3 linked regions of the Sus scrofa genome follow. The protein of the gene in region 2 binds, or shares a complex with, the protein of the main gene of each other region. Links are inferred from orthologs where the notes say so. Each region holds a gene or a part of one and is shown on either strand. Other genes may lie near its edges.

Region 1 (3,748 bases), on a different chromosome or scaffold from region 2:
ATAGTGTTTTATTTAATATTAAGCAACAATCTTAAATGTTCAGGATATTCTCCAACACCCAAGTATACTTTAGCAAAATAAATGCATATTGAAATTTTAAATAATTTGAATTAAGCAACAAAATTCCATATCAGCAGGGTAGTATGAGAATATGAAGCCAAGGGCGTTCCCGTCATGGCTCAGCAGAAGTGAATCTAACGAGTATCCATGAGGATGCAGGTTGGACCCTGACCTCACTCAGTGGTTAAGGATCTGGCATTGCCATGAGTTGTGGTGTAGCTCACAGACACAGCTCCGATCTGGTGTGGCTGTGGTTTAGGCCAGGGGCTACAGCTACAGCTCCCATTCGACCCCCCACCTGTGAACCTCCATATGCCGTGCGTGCAGCCCTAAAGACAAAAAGAATATGAAGCCAACAAGTCAAACCAGTTTTTACCTCTTTGCTGTAGGCTAGAAAATATGAAACTTCATTCAATTTTAATGTATATCATGGAGAATTCAAAGATAAATAAGACATGAGGCCTGAAGAAGGTGTAAGAAGACAGGTTTTTACAAATAAAAATATATAGTATGACATGTAAAACAATCAATTTTACTAGGATGTTATAAAAAAACACAAATATAACACATATGAACTTATTTTATTTAATCCTTATGAAAGCTTTTTAAGTTATGCATTGTTATTACCACCAATTAACAGATGGGGAACCAAGGCCCAGAAAGGTTAAGTAAAATTTCCAAAGTCACTCAGCAGTGAAAAAGTTTGAGCAAAATCAAATGGTTCAGTTTGGCCCAAGAACATGGTACTCAAATATTAGCGTGTGTAATATTTGGTGCTTGGATTTCAAATGGAGGAGCGTTACTGCTGGTTCAAGAAGTCTGGACTTTATTATGCAGATGGCAATAAGTTACTGCAGCAGTATCAGGCATGGCTAAGATTACTGAAGCATGTGTAAATCAATCCATTACGCTGTACATCTTGAACTTACGTAGTGCTGTAGGTCAATTTTATCTCAAAAAAACTGGGGGAAAAAAAAGACTACTTTGGCAATGATTTTTAAGAGGGGTAGGAAGAATATGATTGGGCCAGGGTATCTCAACCTTGGCATACTGACATCTGGGACCAGATAATTCTGTTGTTGAGTGATGTCCAGTGCACTGTAGAATATTTAGCAGGAACCCTGGCCTCTACCTACTAAATGCTGGTAGAACCAGACTCTCTACACCACAGTTAAGAACCACAGAATTATATTAAAAGCAGACGGAAGATATAAAAATGCAAAAAAAAAAAAAGATTTCGGGCCTCGTGGGTGGCATGCGGAAGTTCCTGGGCTAGGGACTGAACTTGAACCACAGCAGTGCCATGTTGGATCCTTAACCGGCTGAGCCACGAGGGAACTCCAAAAAAAGATGGTAAGGAAGAAAAAGTTAAAAGTCATTTTGGAGGTAGACCTGGCAGGATCTCACAATTATTGAAATCTACATATAAGAAAAGAAAGGTAATTAAAAACTCTCATTAATATCTTAAGAATCAAAAAGGAAATCTTACCAAGAACACCCCCCCAACAAAAGAGCCTTCTCTAATTAGAGAAAAATGAATGTTCTCACGCATTCCAGTTAACAGAGCAAAATATCACACATTCAAGTTCAACCTAAGTGCAAGAAATTAAGAAAAAAGAACGGGATTTCTTTTTTTTTTTTTGTCTTTTTGCTATTTCTTTGGGCCGCTCCCGCGGCATATGGAGGTTCCCAGGCTAGGGGCTGAATCGGAGCTGTAGCCACTGGCCTACACCAGAGCCACAGAAACGCGGGATCCGAGCCGAGTCTGCAACCTACACCACAGCTCACGGCAACGCCGGATCCTTAACCCACTGAGCAAGGGCAGGGACCGAACCCGCCACCTCATGGTTTCTAATCGGATTCGTTAACCACTGCGCCACGACGGGAACTCCCAAGAACGGGATTTCTAAGTTAAAGCTCAAAGGAACCACCAACACACTAAGATGAAGGCAGCTTTTGAATTTCTCATATACCATCAAAACAATTCCATTCCATCCACCTCCTTAGTTCCTTACAGAATTACTGTCCAACCACCTTATCTCGAACGTGATGCTACTCAAGGCGTTCAGCTAACTGTGGTATTCAAGATCTTTAAGTAACGAAGGATCGAGTGCCAGAGACCCGGCCAGGAACTCCGGCCTGGGAGGCAAACCTGCAGACGGAGGGGCCTTTACGTCTTTGAAAAGCATGCCCACCAGGCCGAAATACAACATTTGCGCGGGATGCAGGCCCGGAAACGTGGGACGGTGGCCCGGATCGCGGCGGCAGCCAGTGGCAATAAGCACGGCAGACACACTCTCCGGAAATGGCTGGGGATCCAAGGAACTCAAGGCCTACAAAGAAGCCGCCATTTATGCGCGGCCCTCATGCATACTTACTTCTTCAACTCCGGCGGGTGAGCTTTGCTCATGATGCCTACTCCGCGAACTCAAAGAAACCTCCAAACGGAATTCGTGTTCTCCCTCACGCTCCAGCGGTAGGCCCGGTGCTTTGCGTCTGACGTCACTGATCCCGTTAGCCAATTGATTGTTGGCCGCTTTCACGTTTCACGTCGCGATACTTAGGAAAATCCTGAGCTCGCAGATCAGTCCCAAGCTTCCGTTGTGTCGCCAGGGATTGGCTAGAGCGGAGGGGTGGGGCCTCCAGTCTTTATATTCCTCTTTGTAATTGGGTTGCTGTTCCTGCCTCTAGCATTTGAAGGACGCTGGTTAACTCATTGTCTTTGTGGGTTGCAAAGTTGTCTTGACGCTACCAGATGAAAATAAGCTCTGGAGGGGTAGGCTCCTAAAAATTTCTTTGGCATGTGTGTGCATACTTCCATGTGTTGTTCTTCCCTTTGTTGTCCTCTGCAAACACTGCGGTTTTTTTTTTTTTGGTCTTTTTAGGACCGAACCCTCCGCATATGGAAGTTCCCAGGCTGTGGGTCAAATCTGCGCTGCAGCTGCTGGCTTTTGCCATAGACAAAGCAACGCTGGATTCTTAACCTACTGAGCGAGGCCAGGAATCAAACTAGTATCCTCATGGATACTAGTCCGGTTCTTAACTCCCTGAGCCACATCGGGAACTCGTTTTTTTTTTTTTTTTAATTTAGCAAATTGAAGGTTTGAGGCAGCCCAGAGTCCAGCAAATCTCCCAGCGCCATTTTCCCAAGAGCATTTGTTCACTTTGTGTCTGTGTCATTTTGATAATTCTTACAGTATTTCAAATTTTTTCATTACTGTATTCGTTATGGTGATCTATGATAGGTAATCACACTAAGAAAAAAAAAATCTTGTGACTTGCTTTGAGGTATTTGCTTCACTGTTGAACCTGTGGTATTTTAGTATTCCCACAGGATGTCATGCTACAACTAAGGTTCTAGTAACAGCTCAGTTAACGACCTCTGCACCAAAGGAATAGAGTGAGGGGGCCTCAGTTTCCAAAAATTTTAATCTAGAGGAGTTCCCGTCGTGGCGCAGTGGTTAACGAATCCGACTAGGAACCGTGAGGTTGCGGGTTCGGTCCCTGCCCCTGCTCAGTGGGTTAACGATCCGGCGTTGCCGTGAGCTGTGGTGTAGGTTGCAGACATGGCTCGGATCCCGCGTTGCTGTGGCTCTGGCGTAGGCCGGTGGCAACAGCTCCGATTCGACCCCTAGCCTGGGAACCTCCATATGCCGCGGGAGCGGCCCAAAGAAATAGCAAAAAGACA
Region 2 (3,648 bases):
CTGCGACCTACACCACAGCTCATGGCAATGCCAGATCCTTAACCCACTGAGCAAGGCCAGGGATCGAACCTGCAACCTCATGGTTCCTAGTTGGATTCATTTCCACTGTGCCACGATGGGAACGCCTAGTGTTAGATGTTTTTTTGCTTTGTTTTGTTTTGGCCCCATGAGCATGTGGAAGTTCCCATGTTAGTTTCTTGATTCTGATGATTGTGTTCAGATTATGTAGGGAAACATCTTTGGAGAACAAATGTAGTAAACGCTGAAGTATTTACAAGCATCAGAACATGAGGGTAGCAATTCTAAAATAATTTAGGCAGAAGAAGAGTTCACTTTTGCAGCTTCTTTGGTAAGTGTGACTATTTCAAAATAAAATAATCTTAAATTATGGTTGTGGAGTTCCCATCATGGCTCATTGGGTTAAGAACCCAACTAGTATCCATGAAGATGCGGGTTTGATCCCTGGCCTTGCTCAGTGGGTTAAGGATCCAGCTTTGCCTAAAGCTGTGGTGTATGTCACAGATGTAGCTTGGATCTGGCATTGCTGTGGCTGTGAATGCAGCCCTAAAAAAGCAAAGCAAAAAAAGAAACAAACAAACAAAAAAAAACGCCTCAAGAGAACCTCTAACTTAAAGTCTTTAAAATAAAAATCCTAATAAATTTAAAATATTAGGATCTGAAATATGACACAAATGAACCTATTTATGAAACAGACTCATAGACATAGCGAACAGGCTTGTGGTTGCCAAAGGGAAGAGTGGAAGGAGGTGGGATGGACTGGGAGTTTGAGGTTAGTAGATGCAAACTATTACATTTAGGATGGATAAGCAATGAGATCCTATGGTATAGGACAGGGAACTATATTCATTCTCTCAGGATAGACCAGGATGGAAGATAATACAAGAAAGGGAATGTGTATATATGAAGGACTGGGTCACTTTGCTGTACAGCAGGAACTGCCACAACAGGAAGTTACCATTGTGGCTCAGCGGTAACGAGCCCAACTAGTAACCATGAGGATGCTGGTTTGATCCCTAGCCTCTCAGTGGGTTAAAGGATCTGGCGTTGCCATGAGTTGATGGTGTAGGTCACAGACACGGCTTGGATCTTATGTGCCTGTGACTTTGGCATAGGCTGGCAGCTGTAGCTCCAATTCAACCCCTAGCCAGAGACCTTCCATATGCCACAGGCCCTAAAAAGCAAAAGAAAGAAAAGGAAGGAAGGAATTGGCACAACATTGTTAATCAACAATACTTTAATTTAAAAAAAAATTTATAAAATGTAAAAATTTTTAATTTTAATTAAAAAGGAAGAAGGAAGGTCCATTCATCTTCCTCAGGTACTTAGGAACCTATACCAGGATTGTAGACTGTTGTCTTCAAAGCTGTTGCTGAGTAGGAATGGAGTGAGTTAAAATACTGCAAAACTCTTCTTACTAGACCCCAGGTGGGTTTTTCCTCATTAAATATTCACTTGGTTGCTGTAAACTCTAGTTTCTAGAGTTTTGATAAAGTTGATTCTGCCAGGTTTTTTGCCAGGTAAGTCTCTGCTCTTGTAGGAACAATTTTTGGGCAATCCCTGCTCTTGCCTTTTTCACTGATGTAGGCTCCTCTGTCTGTCCCCCCGCCCCCATATATATATATATTTTTTTTTCTTTAAATGTAAGTTGCAGCCCACTAATGAATTAATATCTACAGTTTGAAAATACTGAACTAATAATACCCTTTGTATACTAAGAACATATGAACTAATAAACAAGGTAAAGATTTTTACTCCAAGGACATGTTTGTTAACTGTGTTTATTCAAACTTTAAGTTCCCGTCGCGGCTCAGTGGTTAATGAATCTGACTAGGAACCATGAGGTTTTGGGTTCAATCCTTGGGCTTGCTTAGTGGGTTAAGGATGCTGCATTGCCATGAGCTGTGGTGTACGTTGCAGATGCGGCTTGGATCCACATTGTTGTGGCTCTGGCGTAGACCAGTGGCTACAGCTCCAATTAGACCCCTAGCCTGGGAACCTCCATATGCCACGGGTGCAGCCCTAAAACACACACACACAAAAAAAAAAACTTTAACAAAGGAGTCTGAAAATAGAACCAGCGTGATTTGTTCCACCAGCCTTCAGATATGTTGGCAAAATTATAGTCACTTTTCACGATGTTTATAGGATATCCAGACAAGTTTCGGAACAGGGTCCCCATTTCAAATGTTTTCACCTCTGTAAAAGTCCTTGGACTTAAGGGTGTACTATGCAGTTGCTTCTTAGAGTGATGTTACTGTAGATTCTCTTGTCTTCTTTTTCAGCTTTGGGACATCCGTAAGAAAGCAGCCATCCAGACATTTCAGAATACCTACCAGGTGTTAGCTGTGACCTTCAATGACACAAGTGATCAAATTATTTCTGGTGGAATAGACAATGATATCAAGGTATGTTAGATGTTTGTTATGTTTACCTCTCACCTATCTCCACTCACAGAGGTAAATTTTTCCATACTTCTTAGGTTTGCACTTTATACCAACTAAATGGAAGATAATAACTTAGAAGTCGTTTCCTTTCTGTCCTATCCTCATTGACTTCCTAAGTCATGGTTGCATTGCAGCTTGTATAAATGCTGTCAGGAACCAGGCAGTTAACGTGAAATAGGAAGTTCTTATGTGTGAACTTTGAAAGTGAAGAATGCATTCCCTGCCTAAAGGTATTTGAAACTTTTTTTTTTTTTTTTTTGGTCTTTTTGTTATTTCTTGGGCCGCTCCCGCGGCATATGGAGGTTCCCAGGCTAGGGGTCCAATCGGAGCTGGGAACCGAGCCGCGTCTGCAACCTACACCACAGCTCACGGCAACGCCGGATCCTTAACCCACTGAGCAAGGGCAGGGACCAAACCCGCAACCTCATGGTTCCTAGTCAGATTCGTTAACCACTGCGCCATGACGGGAACTCCGGAAACTTTTTTTTTTTTTTTTTTTTAATTTGCATTGGGGAGTTCTGTTGTGGCTCAGCAGTAATGAACCCAACTAGTATGCATGAGGACTCAGGTTCGATCCCTGGCCTCATTCAGTGGGTTAATGATCTGGCATTGCTGTGAGCTGTGGTGTAGGTGACAGACACAGCTTGGATCTGACATTGCTGTGTCTGTAGGTCAGCAGCTACAGCTCTGATTCCATCCCTAGCCATGGAAACTTCCATATGCCCCAGGTTCGGCCCTGAAAAGACAAAAAAAAAACAAAAAACAACAAAAACCCCTGCATTTGTCTCTTGAGATAGCAGTAAATCAATTTGTGATTCTGTACCCTAATCTCTCAGTATGTCTTTCTTTTTGAGACTATAGAAAGGAAGTTTTGAGGGATCCATAGCTAAGAATGTGAGAAGGTAATGATGTTGGAGAAAGAAGGAGGCAGTAGACTATGTGGCAGTATAGTGTAGCTAAAGCTTTCAGGTAATTGACTTGGGGTCTGATCTCAATTCCACCATTTTGCGGTTTTTTGTTAATTCAAGGTAGTTCCTTAACTTCTTTCAGCCTCTGCTCATTTGTGCAGCAGAGGAACTAATAATCCATCCCTCCTTGTCTCCTTTGCTGTTACTTTGGTTAGGATGTCCTTCCTTTAAATTGAAGAATTGCATTTTTTTTCCCATCTCTTTACAGATCCAGT
Region 3 (3,648 bases), on a different chromosome or scaffold from region 2:
TGGAGACACAGAAGTCGCCTGCCTGCTCAGGTCCTCTCCGGGGCCCCGGGCCCCCCAGGCCCCCGTCCCACCCCCTCTGCCCCCTCTCAGCCGCTGGGCCCTCACCCTCGTCGCTGATGTCCATGTTCTCCACACGGGTGTCATCTGACTGCGGGGGCAGAGGCACCGGCTCCTTCTCCTCCTCCTCCTGGGCCTCCTCGTCCGCCTCGGGCACTCGGCGCCGACCCCGGCCCCGCAGCCTGTGGGGAGAGGCCTCCGGGTGAGCTCCGGCCCCGGCCGGCCCAGCCCCCCACGCCAGGCCCACGTCTGAGCCCACCTGGAGCCGAAGTCCCCGTCCTGAGTCTGGTCCCCGAGAGGCAGCAGGTCGTCGGCCCGCACCACCACCTCCTTCTCCTTCTTGCGGATCTTCTTCACCCTCCGCTTGGTCTTTTTAAAAGTCACCTGGAGGGAGGAGAGCAGAGGAGACGCGGTTTCGGGGAGGCTGGCAGCTCGGGCCCACGAGAAGGCAGGCCGCTCTAGTGCTACCCTGGGCCGGCCATGGTCCTGAGCGCCTCAGCCACGTGAACGTGACACAAGGTGTGGACGCCCCTCACTCCACCTGTGAGATGAGGAAACCCGAGCTCAGAGAGGCTAAGCGCCTCGTCCAAAGTCACCCAGCCTCCCAAGCAGGAGAGCCAGGACCCTGCATCCCGGGAGTCCGGCTCCAAGGTCTGGCTCTTAACCACTGAGCCAGGCCATCTAGCGAGCCAGCTGCCCACCTGCTATTCAATCTTCCCACATGCAACATCTACTGACAGCTACGGACTCAGCGCTCAGCACGCGTCACCAGTCCTTGTAGCAGCCCCTTACTCGGTGGCTCCTGTCACCCGTTTCAGACCAGAGCTCAGGCCTGTCGCTGAAAGACTCACTCTGTGTATAGACTGACTATGTGGCAGAGCCTGAACAGCAGCACAGGGCCACCTGGCTCACGGTCTTTGCTCTGTGTACACCCACCGCTGCCCTGCAGCACCAGGGCTGCCGGTTACTGCTTGTCCACAGGGACTGAGCACCAGGCCATAACGCGACCCTCCCACCTCTGCTCATCCTGGTGGCAGGCGATCGCGGAGGGGAGGCAGGATCACGACCGATCGTGTGCGGATGGGGCCCCAGGGCTCACCATCTCCTCTGGCGTGAGGTACTCAGAGGCGAGCCGTGGCCCAACCGAGCTCAGGGACTGAGCCTGCAGCCGCAGCTTGGCCCGGATCTCTTCCAGCTCCCGTTCCCGGAGGCCGTCGGCCACGCCGCCCTGCTCCAGCCGGAAGGACTGCGGCCGCTCGCCCTCGAGCTCCTCGTCGTACTTGGACAGGATAGAGCGGGGTTTCTGCTGCAAAGCAGGAAGTACAGGTTGGGACCCAGCCTGACCCCCGAAAAGCCACAGAGCCACCATCGCCTCAGGGGCTCCTCGGCCGCCACCGCTGCCGCCCTCTGTGCTGCCGGCCTGCCTGGGCCAAGTCGTCCACGCTCTCGTTCTCCGCGTACGGCGAGTAGTCGGGCTTCCTCTTGCGCAGCTCCACGTTTTTCTCCGCCCGCTCCTTGTCTAGCAGGTTCACGTTCACCAGCACGTCCTCCTCCTCCTGCAGCACCCCTGGAGACGAGGCAGACGCAGCAGCCGGTCACGCGCGCCCTCGGCCCGGCCCGTGCCCAGGCGGAGCACCCCGCTCAGCCCACCTTTGTCCTTGAGGGTGAGGATCACCGTCTCCCCCTCTCGGAAGGCGTCGATGGCGTGCTCCACGGTGAGGCCCTGCAGGTCCCGGGCGCTGTACAGGTCCTAGGCAGAAAGAGGGGTCCAGCTCAGCCGGGAGCCGACCCGCCCGGCCCTGGGATCCCAGCACCGGGATGGCAGCCCCCCGCCCCCCCATCAGCTGCTGAAGCCTCACCTGCCGCCTCTGCTCGAACTCTTCCTCCACCAGGGTGCTGACACCAAACTCCTGGTCCATCTCCTCCAGCAGCTTGGCCTACAGGACAGGGAGGGGGTGACCTCTGACCTCACGCTGTTCGGGATCTCCAGAGGACACGGGGCCTCACTGAGGGGGGAGCTCAGAAAGCACATGCCGGAGTTCCCGTCGTGGTGCAGTGGTTAACGAATCCGACTAGGAACCATGAGGTTGCGGGTTCGGTCCCTGCCCTTGCTCAGTGGGTTAACGATCCGGCGTTGCCGTGAGCTGTGGTGTAGGTTGCAGACGTGGCTCGGATCCCGCGTTGCTGTGGCTCTGGCGTAGGCCGGTGGCTACAGCTCCGATTCAACCCCTAGCCTGGGAATCTCCATATGCCGCGGGAGCGGTCCAAGAAATAGCAACAACAACAACAAAAGACAAAAGACAAAAAAAAAAAAAAAGCACATGCCTTGCAGACAAGCTGCCGAGAACCCAACACAGGCACCACGGACCATGGGCCTCCTACTGCTCTGGGCCCAGCCTCACTTCTCCAGGTCAGCCCCTAGCCTCACCAGCCAGTCAGGCCACCAGAGGTGCTAAGCCACACCCCGGCTGCCCAGGACCTCACCCTCTTCTCTGCCAGGTCCTTCTCCTTCTGAAGCTGCCGGCTCCTCTCGATCCAGGCTGCAGTGTCGTCCAGCCAGGGGTCATCCTCCCCCAGAGTCTTTATCTTCCTGAAGAGGGGCGAGAGTGACCCTCTGGGGAGCCAGTCCCGGCTCCCCGACCCACCTTGGCAGCTCCTCGGCGCCTCCCCAGGCCCCCACCCCACCCCCCAGCCTGCCCAGCTGGGACCCCTCACCCCAGCTTCTGGTTGAGGAGGCGCTTTTCTTTGGCAGCCGCCAGCTTCTCTCGGAGTTCTTCTCGCTGTCGCAAGGCCATGGGGTTGATGACATCGGCAGTCACGGGCTCCTCCTTGGTGCCCGCCTCTGGAAGGGAGGCCCAGACGTGAGGCTATGCCTGCCCATGGCTGGTGGGGAGAGGAGGGAGCCACTCACGCTGCCCCTTCCAGCTCAGGGGCCAGAAGGTCCTTCACCCCCCCACTCCCACAGGATCCCGCACTCCCATGTCACCCCCCAGGCCTTCCTCCAAACCCCCTCTGATCACATTTGTTTTGGGGGGGGGGCATGCCTGTGGCATACAGAAGTTCCTAGGCCAAGAATCAAACTCTCAACACAGCAGTGACCTTAGCCACAGCAGCGACAAAACTGGATCCTTAACCACTAGACCACCAAGGAACTCCCCTCTGATCATACTTTTAAAAAAACCGCAAAAACACACTCAACACCTACACAGGCCAGATTAGTGCACAGCAACTGTGCAGATCTCTCGGCCCATCTAATGCTACCTCACAGCCAGAGTGAGGTTGTGACGCCAACTGCTCCAACAGAAAGAAGGAGCTGAGTCCCGGATCCGCGTCACAACAGCCGGGAGGGCCCCGCCCCGTGCCCATCGCAGCACGCACGCGCACACGCGGGACCACGACTGGTGCTGAACCTGTGCCTCGGCCCCACTCTCCTCAAAGACCGCTTCAGGGGGCCTCCCTCTGGACCCGACCAGCCCACCCTCCCTCCCTCCTCAGTCCCACGCTCACCCTTCTTGACGGCATTGACTTCCAAGGGTTTCAGCCCCAACTTTGCCCGGAGTTTACTGAAAACAAGAGATAGACGTGTTAGAA

Evidence for each region.
Region 1: SNRNP40 (region 2) and SNRPG share a complex: the UniProt entries of both Homo sapiens proteins name them as parts of the U4/U6-U5 tri-snRNP complex. The link is inferred for Sus scrofa from reciprocal best matches to the Homo sapiens genes SNRNP40 and SNRPG.
Region 3: SNRNP40 (region 2) and SART1 share a complex: the UniProt entries of both Homo sapiens proteins name them as parts of the U4/U6-U5 tri-snRNP complex. The link is inferred for Sus scrofa from reciprocal best matches to the Homo sapiens genes SNRNP40 and SART1.

Annotation. Positions count from the first base shown.
Region 1 is NC_010445.4:72,197,566-72,201,313, reverse strand, and holds the start of SNRPG (small nuclear ribonucleoprotein G), read right to left. Parts: upstream 2,593-3,748; 5' UTR 2,471-2,592; coding exon 2,439-2,470; intron 1-2,438. UniProt on the Homo sapiens protein: Plays a role in pre-mRNA splicing as a core component of the spliceosomal U1, U2, U4 and U5 small nuclear ribonucleoproteins (snRNPs), the building blocks of the spliceosome.
Region 2 is NC_010448.4:87,862,497-87,866,144, reverse strand, and holds part of SNRNP40 (U5 small nuclear ribonucleoprotein 40 kDa protein), read left to right. Parts: intron 1-2,303; coding exon 2,304-2,426; intron 2,427-3,648. UniProt on the Homo sapiens protein: Required for pre-mRNA splicing as component of the activated spliceosome. Component of the U5 small nuclear ribonucleoprotein (snRNP) complex and the U4/U6-U5 tri-snRNP complex, building blocks of the spliceosome.
Region 3 is NC_010444.4:6,366,809-6,370,456, forward strand, and holds part of SART1 (U4/U6.U5 tri-snRNP-associated protein 1), read right to left. Parts: intron 3,621-3,648; coding exon 3,565-3,620; intron 2,900-3,564; coding exon 2,773-2,899; intron 2,648-2,772; coding exon 2,542-2,647; intron 1,995-2,541; coding exon 1,917-1,994; intron 1,808-1,916; coding exon 1,708-1,807; intron 1,625-1,707; coding exon 1,482-1,624; intron 1,364-1,481; coding exon 1,157-1,363; intron 442-1,156; coding exon 317-441; intron 240-316; coding exon 106-239; intron 1-105. UniProt on the Homo sapiens protein: Plays a role in mRNA splicing as a component of the U4/U6-U5 tri-snRNP, one of the building blocks of the spliceosome. May also bind to DNA.